2 linked regions of the Bombyx mori genome follow. The protein of the gene in region 1 purifies or fractionates together with the protein of each later gene. This does not show direct contact. Links are inferred from orthologs where the notes say so. Each region holds a gene or a part of one and is shown on either strand. Other genes may lie near its edges. The genes, in order: serine/threonine-protein kinase Warts and LIM domain-containing protein jub.

Region 1 (8,261 bases):
CAAGGAAATTATGTGTATGCTTACTTAAGTACCTGTTATTTCATTTTCATGACAAAGCTTAGCATGCACTGTGCAGTCAACTTGGGCAATGGCAAATTTGGAGTCCTTGGTATTAACCAGCTCTGCCAATTCTGACCATATCGGATAAAATTCTGTGCAATGTCTACACCTTAAAACATATAATTTCTGTAAATGGTATAGTACCGTAATGGTAAAAAATATAGATATTATGGTAATTTCAAACAGTATTTTATTGAAACTCTCTTGGAACACATCTTTAGTTGTGGATGGTTAACAACTTTTTTAATTTTATATCGTGAATTACCCTCATTGAATCAGTCGTCAGCCTTTTTGTAAAAATGCTCATCTAACTTTGTAGTTTAGTCAATAAGTATGAAGGATCTTTTTCACCACTACCCACATCAGTTCGTTTTTATTGAGGGCATTCAAATCTTTTGTTTTGAACGGAAGCTTGGCTGTGATCTTCGTATTTTCAATTTCTATTAGAGGTTCACACACAATAGGCCTCATCGATGTCACTACGGTATACCATTTACATTTCGGTCAACTAAAGAAAATTAGATTAAGTTTATTTATAAAATCGTTTCGATTCAATATTTAGTATAATTTTTATCATAAATAAATGAATATGTAGATTGTTTTGAATTTAATCACTGAAAGGAATAATGTAAATTCAATTATTGTTCTCACCATGGCGCGTAAAACATAATAAAGTTTCCATCCATTTCTTCGATCTGGAATTTGAAATTACTGGGATTGTATTCGTAAACAGAACTCTGTTCAGGAGCTACAAGATACGGAAATACAAATAGATATGGTAATATCTTCATTGTGGTGAAGGAATATATTTCTAAACAATGCCTCTGTGAATTGAGGTAACTTTTTTAGGTTGTTTTCATTTATATCTTTTCTCCTTCTCATTAGTTAAGTAGCTAATAGGTTAAATCTAAAACAACAAATAATTTCGTATTTGTTGGATAAATTTTGCTTTGCTGCACAGCACTTCAAACTTTTTCGTTTGGTTTGTCTATTGGCAGCACAGGGAACGTAGCACATATAACATACACAGTAATATTCTATAACAAAGGTGAATCTATGTCTGTTGTGTGGAAAGTCAACTGATATAGATTGATAAAAAATTGAATCAAAAATTAAATTAGATATCTTTTTTATTGTCCTTATAGGCAGACGAGCATACGGTCTACCTGATAGTGAGTGATTACCGTCGCCCATGGACTTCAGCAATGCCAGGGGCAGAGCCAAGCTGCTGCCTACCGTTAAGTATTCTCGCCGTTAAGTACTCTGCACAAGCCTCGTTTGAAGAAGGATATGTGGATTAACTGAACTGAGATAAAACAATACCATACCAATGAAATAATTAGTAAAATGGTTGGAATTAAACAAAATCTTAAGGGAGCCGGCACGGTGCGGGATTGTTCTGGCGCAGCTGGAACACAGGCCGTACTTATTGTCCGTTTAATGTTGTACTCATAGATAATACACATAACTTTTGTACTCTCCTCCAACTAATATATTCATCTGTGCTCTCCTGATATTATGTGTATTATTTATACTTTCCTCTCATGCTCGCTGCACGAGTTAATATTTGCGACGATCTTCTTTGAACTGTTGACTTTGAACCGCAACAAGAAAGCCGCGGCATATATCGCCGTCAAACACCAATAAGGGCGAACCGTTGGCCATATTTGTTCACCACCTAACCGGGGACCTGCAACACTTTCGCGAGATACGACGCCAAGGATACCACCGTTGGTTGCTTTGTGGTGTTTGTATTTTGCCGCACGCCGCCTATTATAATAGGTAGTTCGGAGGTTAAGGATGACAAGATAAGATCAATGGACTTTGGAAGAATTCAAAAAGCAATATCCAACTATTTTGTTTCGTTTAACCACCCTTGTGTACTTTCAGAGATACTAAAATGTTAATAAACCACCGTCATAACATACTAAACCTGATGAAACAGTAAATAAAAAAATAAAAAAGTCACAACTTGACAACAGCAACAACCTAAAAAAATTCCTAGCACTGGCCTCAGGTAGAGATGTACTTGGTTGAATTTAACACAGGATCGGAATCACAGCCCTCCGTGAAGATCCGGCGAGATCTCAGTGGGTGGTGTCTATGAGCTATTTCATACGTCGAGCACAGCAGAGAGTAACGTGCACAGCGAACGACAGAAGAATCTTTGAAAGTGGACCTGAAAGATCGGAAAGAATATGTTAATGGCTACGGCGGCTTTAGGTTGCCCTGTTGCCTGGGTCGGATATGTAATGAGAAGCGGAAAGGTAATGGCACGCCGCTTTATCAAAATAGCGTTCCGACGCTTCCATAAGGTTTTTACTGATAGAAACTAATTAGTTCTTACGTACCACGGTGCTCCGAAGGCTATTTTGCAGAAATGGGATTGGATAACCTGGAGAGAGTTCATGTGTGAACGGGACGCGTGAGCGAACACTACACTTACCTATTTCCTTATTAACTCCAAGCCTATTTCACAATGGAACGTATGCATGTTTTGTAGAGTGTCACCTTGTTATGAAGAAAATGAATTAGGCAATAGCAGATAGAAATTTCTTAATTTAACAGTCTTAGAATTAGACCGTTATACTCTTTTTTTTTTCTTTAGAATTTTTGCAGTTAGGATTTTTGCTGTGAGTCCTGTGACTAGGTACTTACTCCATGCCTGTGACTTTCTTATTATTCGGATACAGTTTCATTTCGACAATTCTGTAGAAGTGTTTTTTTAAAGGTCTGATTATTACTTTTAATAGAGAAATTCCTACATTAGTAAGCAGATGAGTGCTTTAGCTGGGTTCTTTTTTACGAAAAAGAGTCGTCAAACAAAATGGAATTTAATCTTCTGTGTATCCGAACACACTAAAGAATGTGGTAATTCTTCAAAATGGTCGCTTTGTATGGTTTGCCAACTTGCATGTCTGTGTTTTAGAGTCCTTTGTTTTCATATTTCCTTAGAAACTCTCGCTTTAAAGCACAACTCTATCGACTCCAGATTGCCTCTTCCGTATAAAAATTAATGCGACTAATCAAAACTAAGTGTGCAAGAAAGATGTCATCGGCAATGTGAGAGCTGTCGATCGAACTGAATTTCATTTTATGGGATTATGACATTTGTGCATATAATACGGATTTACAGAAAGTGAAAAAGTGCCTGGTAATGAATTACAGTAATTAATTATTCTTCTTAGTGCCTTGAATGAACGAAACATTGCTTTCCGAGCTCCCTCTAATTTTGGAATTCCACAAGTCTATGTCATGATTGATTCGCATTAGACATTCCTTACATCCTCGTACTCTTGGATAGAATGCGATACTGTTAAAAATTGTGTACTCGAATTGTCTGATACTGTAAACAGGTTCTGTATAAAGTCGACAAATCATATCCCTATCCTGTTGCCAAGATGTCAAACTTTTCTCATCTAACTTATTTAACTCATTATTTTATTATCACATAAAATTTAAGGGATCTAAAGCAAGAGGAATTCTCAATTGATTAGGTACTAATATTTAAAAATATTTTTCAGTTAAAAGAAAGTACCTTTCACGCTGCTACACAAAAAGCAATGTTGATACAGACTGACTAGTGAGGAAATCGATATATAAACGAAATAAATTCGATAATAAAGACAGTGACAGTGCTGCGAGTCTTAATTAGAGTGTTGAATAAATGGTGCGGAGGATAATAAACAAGGATATGTACAGGGTGTGGGGTGTGCTCATGTGATGGGAGGCGTGGGGTGAGAGGTGAGGCGCACGGGCGCGGGCGCGGGCGCCATGAACCCGCCGGCGCCCGGCAAAACGGCTACGCGCTCCGGATACCACCAGAAGGCGCTTGCCGAAATCAGAAACTCATTGCTTCCCTTTGCGAACATTGGAAACTCTGAACCGCCAGGTTCATCAGCTGCTAGCACAGTTAGTTCAGGAGTGAGTTCGGGGTTTAGTTCTTCTTCGGGAAATGGACTCGATAAAGACTTGAATGTGCTACCTCAATCCTTGAACCAACTTATTGCCTTGGGTTATGATGAGGTGAGTTTAGTTATAATGAATTGCTAAAAGTGTTTCTAAATAACAGATATGATTAGTGTTTTTTTAGTGTCATTATTCCATTATCTTTAATTTTTATAAAAAAACTGGCTGGCATTGTTTTGCCATAAAAATATTTCTAGGAAAGATACCGACTGCAGTGCCGGGTTGCTTTATAAATCTAAACCATTCTCAAATCCACCTGAAGATACACAGAAAATTTCATTAATATCGGTCCAGCCGTTTAGGAGGAGTTCAGTGACAAACACACGCACAGAAGAAATATACATATAAAAATACATGGAATTTATAATACAATTAAAATATAATAAGAAAGACTATCAACTTTTAATGTAGAAGGCAGTGTATGGCCGATATTATCAGTATTTATTGGTGATTAATGTCCATTTTCATTAATACCAAGGCTAAGGACAATCTTTAACCAGGTTTGAGTAAAACTTAAGTTATTGTTATTTGCAATAACTGAGAAATTTTAATTAAACATAAACACTATAAGTACAAGCTAATTACTTGCATATTGCCTGGTTGCAGTGGAATGAGGAATAGGCAATCATGAAACCAGTGGTAGTTTGTTTTCATTTTCAACAATCATGTTAAACATAATTTAAATTGAATCAAATTTATAGTCATAACAGTTATAAAATGAATGCTTAAGGTTGTGTTCTTGGATATAATGTTGACCAGAATTAAATTGAGAAGTAATTTATTCACAATACAAAAACACAAGATTTTAATTTTTATTTTCATTATTGTATTGTGCATGTTGTAAATGCATATTGTCTTGAGAATAAATATGGTCATATACCAATATTCTGTCTATACCTAACACTTTAACCATGTATTCTGGTTTAAAGGGCAGGCTGTCAAATATTTTAATGCATTTTTGAATTCAGCTTCGTGTTCAGATTTTTTAAAACCCCTATTGTGATCTATAGGCTTAGTTATAAAGCCTAAAATAATAAAATCTAATATTAATGATAAAAAAAGATTTTTTTAAAATTATTCTACACATGCTTTTTTTTCTACCGTCTTGGATTATATGTATCTTCTAGCTATTAGTATCATCGGTGACTGATAGCAGGAAGTTTTCAAGATCTCCAATATCAATTTAATTTTTAGTTTTCACAATTGTTCTCATAAATTTCCCAGGCGAAAAATTACATTACTGTGTACTCAAATAAATCCTTTTTTCAACATATATAATAGTATTAGAATGAGGTAAAATAGGAATTATATTCACATAGTTTGTCTATGTAAAGTTTATAAGTCAGCAAGATAATAATTATATTACAATCTACAACAAAATTACAATAAAAACTCCAAGCAAGATCTACATAAGAAGTTCGGTATACTAGTTTTGCCATGCCATTATTATTATATTACCACACAGAGACTAGGTTTGTTGGTCGTCAACTATCCATTGATCGAATGTTGGTTGTTAATTTATAATGTTACTCTGCCCTTACTCTGCTCGGGCACTGGACCCAGACGAAGATCGGGCGTTGGGGGAGAGAGTGCAAGGAGAGTCTTTTGGTAGGTAGGGCCCTAAACGTTCTTGGACCTGCGGTTCTCTCCCAATGTCTACGGACCATCAACACCCACATACTCTACGCGCCCCCTAAGCCCCCTGCCCGAATTTTTTATTATTAGATGGATGGTTTGTACCTGCCGCTGCAGGGTGGGGCACACCACCCTACCGAATTTTACTGTCAAGCAGTAATATGCTCTAATTAGAAGGGCAGGACAGTTAATATACTATACAATTGAAAAATTAGACCTCTTGTCTCGAGATGGATGACGGCGCATATACGCTGTGATGTCTATTGGCTCTAGTAACCACTCACCGTCAGAAGAGATATTCACGGTGTACTTAGATTATAATCAATTTGGTAAAATTTCATTATCTTGTTTTGCTTCTGTTTTTGAATAATGAGTATATTATTTAGAAAAAATCATTTCAGGACCCAGCTGTGAGGGCACTCAAATATGCAGGAGGGCGTTTTGATGCAGCTCTCGATTATTTGTCGAAACAGCAAGAACCTCTCAACGGCGTCCTCAAAAGCAGTAACTTGAGTGCTCTTGGCACCAAACTTATCCGGAAACCTAGTCTAGAGAGAGAGATAAATCTACATCGTGGTAGTCCTGCACTTGATTCAGGTGCTGGTAGCTCCCGGTCTGATAGTCCGCGTCAATCGGAGCCACCGCCGCTACCACACGAGAAGCTATCGCGACAGTATTCGCCTTCAGGTTTCTCAGAACCACCGCCACCTCCGCCGCCGCGATGTCCGTCCACGCCGCCGGTGCTGCCTTCCGTGCAGCAACTGCTCAAGCGCATGTCGCCGGCGCCACCTCTACCACCGGCGCGGGGCACCAGTCCCGTGGCGGCCGCGGCACCCACGCCGCCTGCCAGACAACCCATGATTGTACAAAATGGACCTCAAGTGCAACAGCAGCTTACGCAGCAGATACAAGCTCTCAGTATCTATCAAACGGGTGGCGGCGGCGAACTTCCACCGCCGTATCCGATGTCGGGTGCGCCGCCACCTCCTCCCTACTCGGTCTCTATCCAAAATCGTCAAAGCCCAACCCAGTCGCAGGATTACAGGAAGAGTCCATCTTCGGGGATCTATTCAGGAGGCACCTCCGCCGGCTCGCCGAGTCCAATTACGGTAACGCAATCGACTGGTTCAGCCGCGGGAATGACTCGCCCCACGCCGCTCCAGGCGTGGACCGCGAGACAAGCGGTGCAGCCTCCTATCATCATGCAGTCTGTGAAAAGCACACAAGTTCAGAAACCGGTACTACAAACGGCGATAGCACCGGTTGCCCCACCGCCAGCCACCAGTGCCGGAGCACCCCCACCCCCTCCTTCGTACGCGAGCTCCATCCAACAGAAGCAGGCACAGACTCCGCCCAGCTACCCGTCGGCACCGAAGCCGTCGTCTCCTGGCTCCACACCTACTGCGATTCCTCCCGCCGTCCCGACCACGGAGCCACCAAGTTATGCGATCACGATGCAAGTGCTCGCCGTTCAACGCGGCATGCACCCCGTCCCGCCGCCTCCGTACGGTAACCAAGCCGACAACACGACTACTGTTAATTCCCACCATTCTCCTTTACATAAGAAAATTTCGAATAACTGTGACGGTAAACCTGAATCGTCACAAGGGCCGCACGAAATTAAGTGTCCCAACCAGAACTGTACGAATAATCTCTTAAAAGACAACGTCACGGCCTCCGGCTCCGACAAAGGCTCTAACGGATCATCGGACAGACGACCAAAAATGTTAGATAAGATAAGGCATCAATCGCCAATACCGGAACGCAGAAATTACAGTAAAGAAAAAGAAGACGAGAGAAGAGATTGTAAAGTCCGAAATTATTCACCGCAAGCTTTCAAATTTTTTATGGAACAGCATGTGGAAAACGTTTTGAAATCTTATAAACAGAGACTGTTCAGAAGGATGCAACTCGAAAAGGAGATGAGTAAAATAGGTCTAAGTGCAGAAGCTCAGTGTCAGATGAGAAAGATGCTGTCCCAGAAGGAATCCAATTATATTCGATTGAAAAGGGCCAAGATGGACAAGTCTATGTTTACTAAGATTAAGCCTATAGGTGTGGGAGCATTTGGGGAGGTGACGTTGGTGAAAAAGATCGATACTAGTCATCTGTATGCCATGAAGACACTTCGGAAAGCTGACGTGCTAAAGAGAAATCAAGTGGCACACGTAAAAGCCGAAAGAGACATATTGGCGGAGGCAGACAACGAATGGGTCGTCAAGCTTTATTACAGTTTCCAAGATAAAGATAATCTGTATTTTGTAATGGACTATATACCGGGCGGGGACCTTATGTCCTTATTAATAAAATTAGGAATATTCGAGGAGAATCTCGCTAGGTTCTACATTGCAGAGTTGACGTGTGCTGTCGAAAGCGTGCACAAAATGGGTTTTATCCACAGAGACATCAAGCCAGATAACATATTGATAGATCGTGATGGTCATATAAAGTTAACAGATTTTGGTCTATGCACCGGTTTTAGATGGACGCACAACTCCAAATATTATCAAAGGAATGGTATGAGACAGTTTTTTGTAAAATTTATGCAGTGTTTTAGAGATTGATTTGGTGTTACATTTTTTTTTTGTATTCAGATC
Region 2 (7,756 bases), on another chromosome or scaffold:
ACATATCCACTACTGAAGCATCATCTAAAGTATTTTTGTAAATTTTGAGCACTAATAAATCTCTTATTAATTTATAAAACTTACAGTACAGTCAATGAGAGTAACTTTGAAGTTCAGTGTAACTTAGTAATTTCCAGACAGATCCATATAGGCCTGCAAAAGGACAATAGAACCAAGAAATTCACGAGTAAGAGTGGTGAATCTACATCAAAAGAGTAGATCAAATTACAATCATGAGCTCTTGTTATATGCTCAATGTTAAAAATGGCTAAATGGCTAAATGTTTAAAAATTACAGAAAAATAAAATCCAGAGGAAACTGAGACTCCAAATGAACTAAAAAAGCCGAGTGAGACAGCCGGACAATGAAGCTTACATCCAAACTTTGGAAAACATTTAACAACTTTGGGAAAATGAAATGTGTCTAAGCCGAGCATAACATTTTAAAAACATTTGACAGTAATTTGTACATTTATCTCTGAAATAAGATCACCATAACATAAAACCAGATGTTCTAAAAAACTAAGAGACTAATCAAAGTTACTCAAGTTGATATGCCCATGAGGTCCCGGCGATTGACGGCATATATCCCAACATAAAAAGAACAGCAATTGTGTACAGTATTTTATGGCTTTTTACCAAAGCTAATTAATATACTTTTTGTATATCTGCCTTCTGTTAACTAGCGTCTTCCATTAATTATCCAAGCCTTATTACATTTGAGCTACAATAAATTAAAGCCAAAATATTAAACGAGCCCAACACACTAGTGTTTTCATTAACAAACAAATATAAAAAGAATATTATGACACTAGAGTAAATAATTTAGTTATAACTCCATTCACATCTACTGAAACTATGTTTCGTTAAGTTAACTTAGTTTCACAAATTATAAGATCATTTAACCCATGTATTGGTATGAGGCTGGTGATAGATGAGGCGCGGGAGGAAGGCCCGGTCCAGTGGCTGCTCCGATTGTGGCGAGGTGACACGCACGACACATTAATTTACCTGCAATTTTACAACATTTTACAACAATTCATTGATTTTACAACAGTTGAAAAGTCCATTTTGTAACTATGTATAATAATGATGGTACATTATTGTATGTTTTTAACAAATGCAGATTTAATATTATGTATTATTATTTTTTATGACCAAATAGGTAATTTATAACAACTGTAATGTGGTGATTTCCCGGCCTGTCCACCATCAACTGCTCTAGGTTTTTGTGACACTGCACCTGTCTCTTTTTCGATATTTATTATCAAAAAGTATCAAGATTTTTTAATACATGGCCGTGATGTGCGCCAACTCGGATCGATACAACCATCCAGCCTATTTCTTTCAGTATTTATGGCAGTGGAATGTCGAGTTAGCTTATTTTTAAATGCAATAGAAACTTTGCTTTAATATCTGAAAGTAGACAGCGACGGCTATGATATCTGGGTTCTCTGGTAACCAAGATGATGATTATTTAGATGGGCCACAACTTCATTTCACCATATCTACTGATTCTAAGGGCGGATTCGACCAAACTTAAATTTAAACTCGAGTAACTATACGAGGAATAACCTATTCCATGATTTTAATCTCGAGTAAATTCATAGTCGTTTTTCCACGTATACTTGCGCTAGGAATAACAATACGCGAATAGCAGAGTGAATGGTGAACAAAAATAAAATCCGGCAAATAAATGTTGTTGTTCAACGGCATAGTGTAAGAGCATACAAATCGTCAACTCGATTTTGCCGTATTTTAGTGTGAAAAAGTAGCTGTTGTGTAAGATATCCAGCTGTCAAACGTATTATTTTTATTTCTTGTTTGTTTGAGGGAATTGTCAAGTTTTGTCGTGTGGTTTTATCTTTTTTCGTTTAAACGTTGCATTATACAATGCCAGACTATTAATAATAATTTAGTGCATTGCGTTGACTTGAAATTAAAACAGAATAAATATTTATGAAATGACAGAAATCAGATGTTGGACTGACAGACGCCATTACTTTATTCTAGGAATAGCTCCGTTATTCCGTGCGAAACGGCGGTATAGTAACAATTCCCGAATAGGCCCACTATTCTTAGAATTGTAGTTGGTAAAACGTAAAATTGATTTACTCTCGATTAACTGACGAGTTATTCTAAGAATAAGATTTACTCTTGTTTGGTCGAATCGACCCTAAGTAAACTAAGAACGTTAATTTATTTTTACACACCTGCTAGAGGATAGCAGCGTTTGTCGGGTTCATCGGTGAGTTGCATGCCGCATACACAACACATATAGCAATCAACGTGGAAATCTCTATCCATAGAGACAACTCTTACTGTCTCGTCTGTACCTTCAACTGGTGTTATGCCTGTAAATTAATATAAACTGTAAGCATTCAGGATTCAATGGGATAGTGCCATTTCCGCCGCTATTTTATACCTCACGATTTGAAGCGTGGGACAACCTGTATACAATAGACACTTCGACTTCATGTCTAAAGCTGGGTGTCGTTATTCAAGATTTGATATCTATGAACTTCGGTAACCAGTGAGCTTCTTCGCCCATCTAGGCAATAAATAAATAAAAGATTTTTGTAAACCAGTAAGACGTATACATTTTCTTTATAAAAATAGGTAGGATAGGCCCTAAGTTGATCCGCTTACTAAAGCAATAAAAAAAATTATATTATTATAATATTTCGTGATAGTCACAATCAAAACATCGCTGGGATTAAACATTACATACTTCATTACTTCAAATTAATATGTATTATGTATTCACGACGACGTATTTAACATTCGCATTTCTAATTTTGTTGCATTCACAGCTATTTTATCAGTTCTTATCGGAAATATTGACTTTTCCTAAACTAAATTCCATCAAGTCATGTACTCATGTGTAATATGGACAAAGTATATTCGATAAAGAAATGATAAGAATTTATACTCTTTCATAAATTATTATTCAACAATATTGTTAGTAAATTATCTCTGACAATAATGCGAAGACTTTATAGAACATTCAGGAATATTCGAATATACCGGCATTTGTTTATTCGTCTTTCAAAACTGTTTAAATTAAATATTTAATGGAAAACAATATTATTACTTAATGGTAACTATATTACTGAAAAGGTAAATTTACCTTTTCCGCAACTTGCACATTTTGGGGCAAACATCCGATGGTAGTCATTGACGCAATAGATCTTATTGTCTACATCCACAGTAAATGGAACACCATCCAGGCACTCATTGCATATGCAGCAGCGGAAGCAGCCGGGATGGTATGATTTACCCATAGCTTGGAGTATCTGGAATTATTATCTTCTATAATAATAATAATAACAAAAGTACAACATGTTGAGCACATTAGCGGAATTAAAATTAAAAAACCGGTTATACCCCGTATGCTTTGTAGGATGATTGACTTTAAAAACGAATAATTATTAGGTAAGTATAAAGCTAAATACTGAAAAAGGCAGTTTCCAGGACTCTAACAATCATTCAGGGCGAAAAAAATACGACGAAGTCTTAATAATTTCCAGAGAACCTAATCCACCAGCTGTCTCCAGTGTGTAATCGCTCACGCCTGTACTTATTAGGAATTAAAATACTTATTCATGACGTAATATGGCTTTTAGAGTTTTAGTCAAATAAAGTTACGTAACCTTAAGTTTCTAGTATCTCCTCTTTAAAAACCTGGATCAAAATACTTTTCAGTTATTTCCACGTGCAATAAAAATAAATTCTTGTTAAGAACCTGAACAAGGTCCACATTTCCTCGTATACGAATCTATTTACGATATTCATATTACTTAATTGCACTTAGAAAAAAGTTATTGAAAGGTGCAATGTTGTCAAACGATTTAAAAAAATAGTGTTCCACATATGGAATTAGCTAGTAAAAGTAGCTAGTGTTTTGGTATGCATACGGAAATAACTGGCATATAAACCTGATCGGAAACCCGCTATTTCCTTAGTTCTATTAAAAACTCGAGTCGAAATTGAGTTAATAATGCTAGGTAAGTACTTTAATGTTTTTTTTTTGTGCCTACCTATTAGCTGGTAGCCTAAGGGGCTATTCCAGTTACGCCCGAACGGGTAGGTGAGCTCACGGGCTCAACCTGAGAGAATTTGCTAACACTAGCCTTAGCAAGAGCAGTGCTTCGCAGAATCTACCACCGGATCAGAGCCGCGACCTACTGAGATCTGGCGAGAAACTCAGTGGGCTAGGAAACTCAAACAAACAAGAACATGTAACTAGACTGGCCATAAACACATTAAAACTTTCATTTTTTTCAACTTTTTAATTATTTTGAAATTGGAACACATTATATTATTTTAAAAACTTTTTAAGATTTTGCGGCATTTCACATATTTTTTCGTGTTCATTATCAAATTACAATATGGAGTGGGGTGTTAAAGAAAAGATTGCAGTGATTGACAAAGTGGGTATGGAGGCGTCAGTCATATTCCAGACACTTCGAAAGCTTGCTATCAGTCCTATGTTCGTATATCGTACTATCAACAGATACAACAAAGCTTCGTCTGTCGAAGACCAGAAAAGATTGGGGCGGCCGCGTGCTGTTAGAACTACAAAAGCTGTTAATGCTGTGAAAGCCACAATTCGTCGAAACCTCATTAGGAAGCAAAAAATCTTATCGCGAGAAATTAAGAATCCCGCTAGGACTCTGTCGCGTATTATAAAACAAGACCAGAAGTTCGGTGCTTATCGTCGATATATAGGACATGCCCTAAATCAATATTTACAATTAAAGAAAGTGGATCGATCAAAACGCCTTCTGTCGCAATACGCAGGTGAAAGGCACAGAAATATCCTCTTTACCGATGAAAAAATTTTAAGGATTGAAGAACACTACAATAAGCAAAATGATAATGTGTACGCTCACAGTTCTAAAGAAGCTGCTCAAGTGGTCGGAAAGGTACAACGAGGTCATCATCCTGCGTCAGTGATGGTTTGGTGGGGCGTGTCTTATCAAGGAGTCACAAAACTACATTTTTTGTAAAAAAGGAGTGAACGTGTATCAAGATACAGTCTTGGATCATGTTATTAAACCTCTCAGCAATACACTTTTTAAAAATATCTCATGGACTTTCCAGCAGGACTCTGCACCTGGTCACAGGGCAGGAACTACCCAAGCCTGGCTTGAAACCAACGTTCCGGACTTTATAAGAACTGAAGACTGGCCCTCATCCAGCCTAGACCTCAACCTTTTAAACTTCAAATTATGGTCAGTTTTAGAGGCAATGGCCTGCTCTAATCGACACGGCGACATGAGTATCTTAAAAAATCTTTGGAGCAAGCAGTGGCAAAATTTCCTTTGGAAACAGTGTGTAATTACATAGATTCGTGGTCAAGCAGATTAAAGGCCTGTATAAAAGCCAGAAGTGGCCATTTCGAATAGAATCTTTTTTATTTTTTGTTGACAATTTAAAGCAATAAAAAAGAGAAAAAAAAAAACGTAAGTATAAATTTTCATATAACATTACTTCATTAAAAAAAAAACTATTTTCATTTCATACTGATTGTCAGATTTACAAGGAATGAAATGTGGATCAGGTCAAGTCAGGGTCACCCACCACTTGGCTTGGTGCGGCGATAACCATTTTAACTAACATTTTTTGATATAATATTGTTATTAGATATTATTCATTACATAATTAAATGAATGATCGTAATTTGCGTATCCTAAAAGAAAATTAGACATCTCGGCTCACCGATATTTACCAGATGATTGTTGTGATTGGTGATTACCAGAACCCACAGACATCACAACTTGAATGCCACCCCACCCTCCTTGAGACATGATGTCTAAACCTCAAATGTTTTTATAATGGCTGTTGCACCTCTCAAACCTGAACGCATGATTGCTTCATGGCAGAATTAGCTAGGATGATTACTACCATCACATTAAGACTACACACTTAGCTACTGCTAAGTCTTAAAGTATGCCTTACCATAATCATACCTTTTGCCCAGTTTTGGTCTCATATTGATATCTTGTACCCATAAGAAAATCCTAGCATGGAGAAAATATTCAGTATAAAATGATTAGCATTTAACATTAATAAGTACTTGGATGACCATGCCACCACCAGCCGATGACATCAAAGTGAGAATAGTATTGTACTTAAATCATTATTTATACTGCCTACCAATATGTTCATAATTTAAATGTTTATAAAGTACTAGCGACCCGCTCCGGCTCCGCTCGGGTCTTTAACATAAAATTCAAAGATATTTGAAGTAGTTTTTTTTTTTTAAATAAAAGAACTCTTATTGAGTCATAACTATAATAGTTAAACATACGCTGTCGGGACACTTTTTGTAAATAATAATGTGTTCTACAAAGTCGTAGTGCATTATTTTATTCTATCATCAATAGTTTTCGCAGGGCACGCGTTGAAAAGAATATTTTAGGTAATTTTTTTACACCTTGCGTTATATTATTGGAGTTTTAGTAAGGATACCTAAATTTTTTCAAGAAATATTATAGCCTCTGTCACTCGGGAATAGTTTAGCTTCCAAACAGTGAAAGAATTTTTCAAATCTGTTCAGTAGTTTCAGAGCCTATTCAATACAAACAAACAAACAAATCTTTCCTCTTTATAATATCAGTATAGATAAACAAAAAATATATTTTATTAATTTTAGACTTTTTTTATTTCAAGATATTGGGCATTGCCTAAGCAAGAAACTAAAACATTCAAAATCAAATTCAAATTACAAATTAATTAATTTAAATAAAAGACGACATTTTTAAAAAACTCACCATTTCCATAATTAAATGACCACATATAGCACACTTTTCAGCTGTTTGCTGGAATCCAGAATACTGAAATACAAGAATACAAATTCGTATTTAAAAAGTATTGATGTTTAGGTTTATGAAGATTGATATGGGTTGATAATCTTTTTTTACCAAATAATCCTCTTCACAGTACACTTTGCCATGTACATTATAAAAAGCTTTCCCTCTAAGTGCTCTACCACATGAACAGCAGATAAAACAATTAGTGTGGTACAGATTGCCCATAGCTTGACAAGCTTGCCCAGCACCAGTTACACCAGCCCCGCATGTGTGGCATATACCTGTGGAAGTTAAAAGTAAGTGGTGTTTAAACGAGTACATTTGGTTTATTACAATAGTAATTATGTAACATGTTGCTCTCACTCTCATTTATCAAATGCCAATTTAAGTTGAGCAATGTTCATATTTCTTTATTGTTTACTGCATAGGTTGCACCTGCACCTCTCACCTGGGTTAAATGGTTACTAGAGCCAATAGTCATCACAATGTGATTTCTCTTGCTGCCAATGACCACCTAGAAATACGAGGTCCAAGTCTCAATAGTATAGTATAGCAGCTGTCCCAGTATTCAAATGCAGCAGAGATTGATTGGATGGTAGTTCCACCATTAAGTGTGCAGTATTCTACAGTATACATACCAAAGTACTCTCCCTCCTCATCCTGTTTCTCCATTTCTTCTTCGAGTTGCCTAGTTAACTCTTCTATTTTTCTCTGGGCCTCAGTTGGACCTGTAGGTCTGGGCGGGGTTATACTATATGGCAGTAAACTCTTGCCTCTACCACCAGATCCTCGGGAACCTCCAGATACTTGAGAAACTGAGCTTGGTGTAGGACTTGGTGCAGGAGATTGTGAGGGTGAACATAAAGAAGTTAAACCGGAAACCAAATTTCGAGAAGTGATAGATTCAGAGTGTCTAGAACTAGCAGATTCAGAGGTTCT

Evidence for each region.
Region 2: the proteins of serine/threonine-protein kinase Warts (region 1) and LIM domain-containing protein jub purify together in Drosophila melanogaster (affinity purification with western blotting; 4 studies listed by BioGRID). This does not show direct contact. The link is inferred for Bombyx mori from reciprocal best matches to the Drosophila melanogaster genes wts and jub.

The regions. Positions count from the first base shown.
Region 1 is NC_085112.1:13,709,618-13,717,878, forward strand, and holds the start of serine/threonine-protein kinase Warts, read left to right. Parts: upstream 1-2,923; 5' UTR 2,924-3,214; exon of another isoform or gene 3,215-3,247; intron 3,248-3,557; exon of another isoform or gene 3,558-3,584; 5' UTR 3,585-3,834; coding exon 3,835-4,086; intron 4,087-6,065; coding exon 6,066-8,181; intron 8,182-8,258; coding exon 8,259-8,261. Other genes in the region: thioredoxin domain-containing protein 5 homolog, read right to left, coding at 33-169, 712-851. UniProt on the Drosophila melanogaster protein: Negative regulator of Yorkie (Yki) in the Hippo/SWH (Sav/Wts/Hpo) signaling pathway that plays a pivotal role in organ size control and tumor suppression by restricting proliferation and promoting apoptosis.
Region 2 is NC_085110.1:13,214,251-13,222,006, forward strand, and holds part of LIM domain-containing protein jub, read right to left. Parts: coding exon 7,456-7,756; intron 7,099-7,455; coding exon 6,929-7,098; intron 6,842-6,928; coding exon 6,779-6,841; intron 3,296-6,778; coding exon 3,130-3,295; intron 2,354-3,129; coding exon 2,213-2,353; intron 1,011-2,212; coding exon 901-1,010; 3' UTR 1-900. UniProt on the Drosophila melanogaster protein: Regulates organ size by inhibiting apoptosis and promoting cell proliferation by influencing the expression of G1/S-specific cyclin-E (CycE) and apoptosis 1 inhibitor (th). Negatively regulates the Hippo signaling pathway.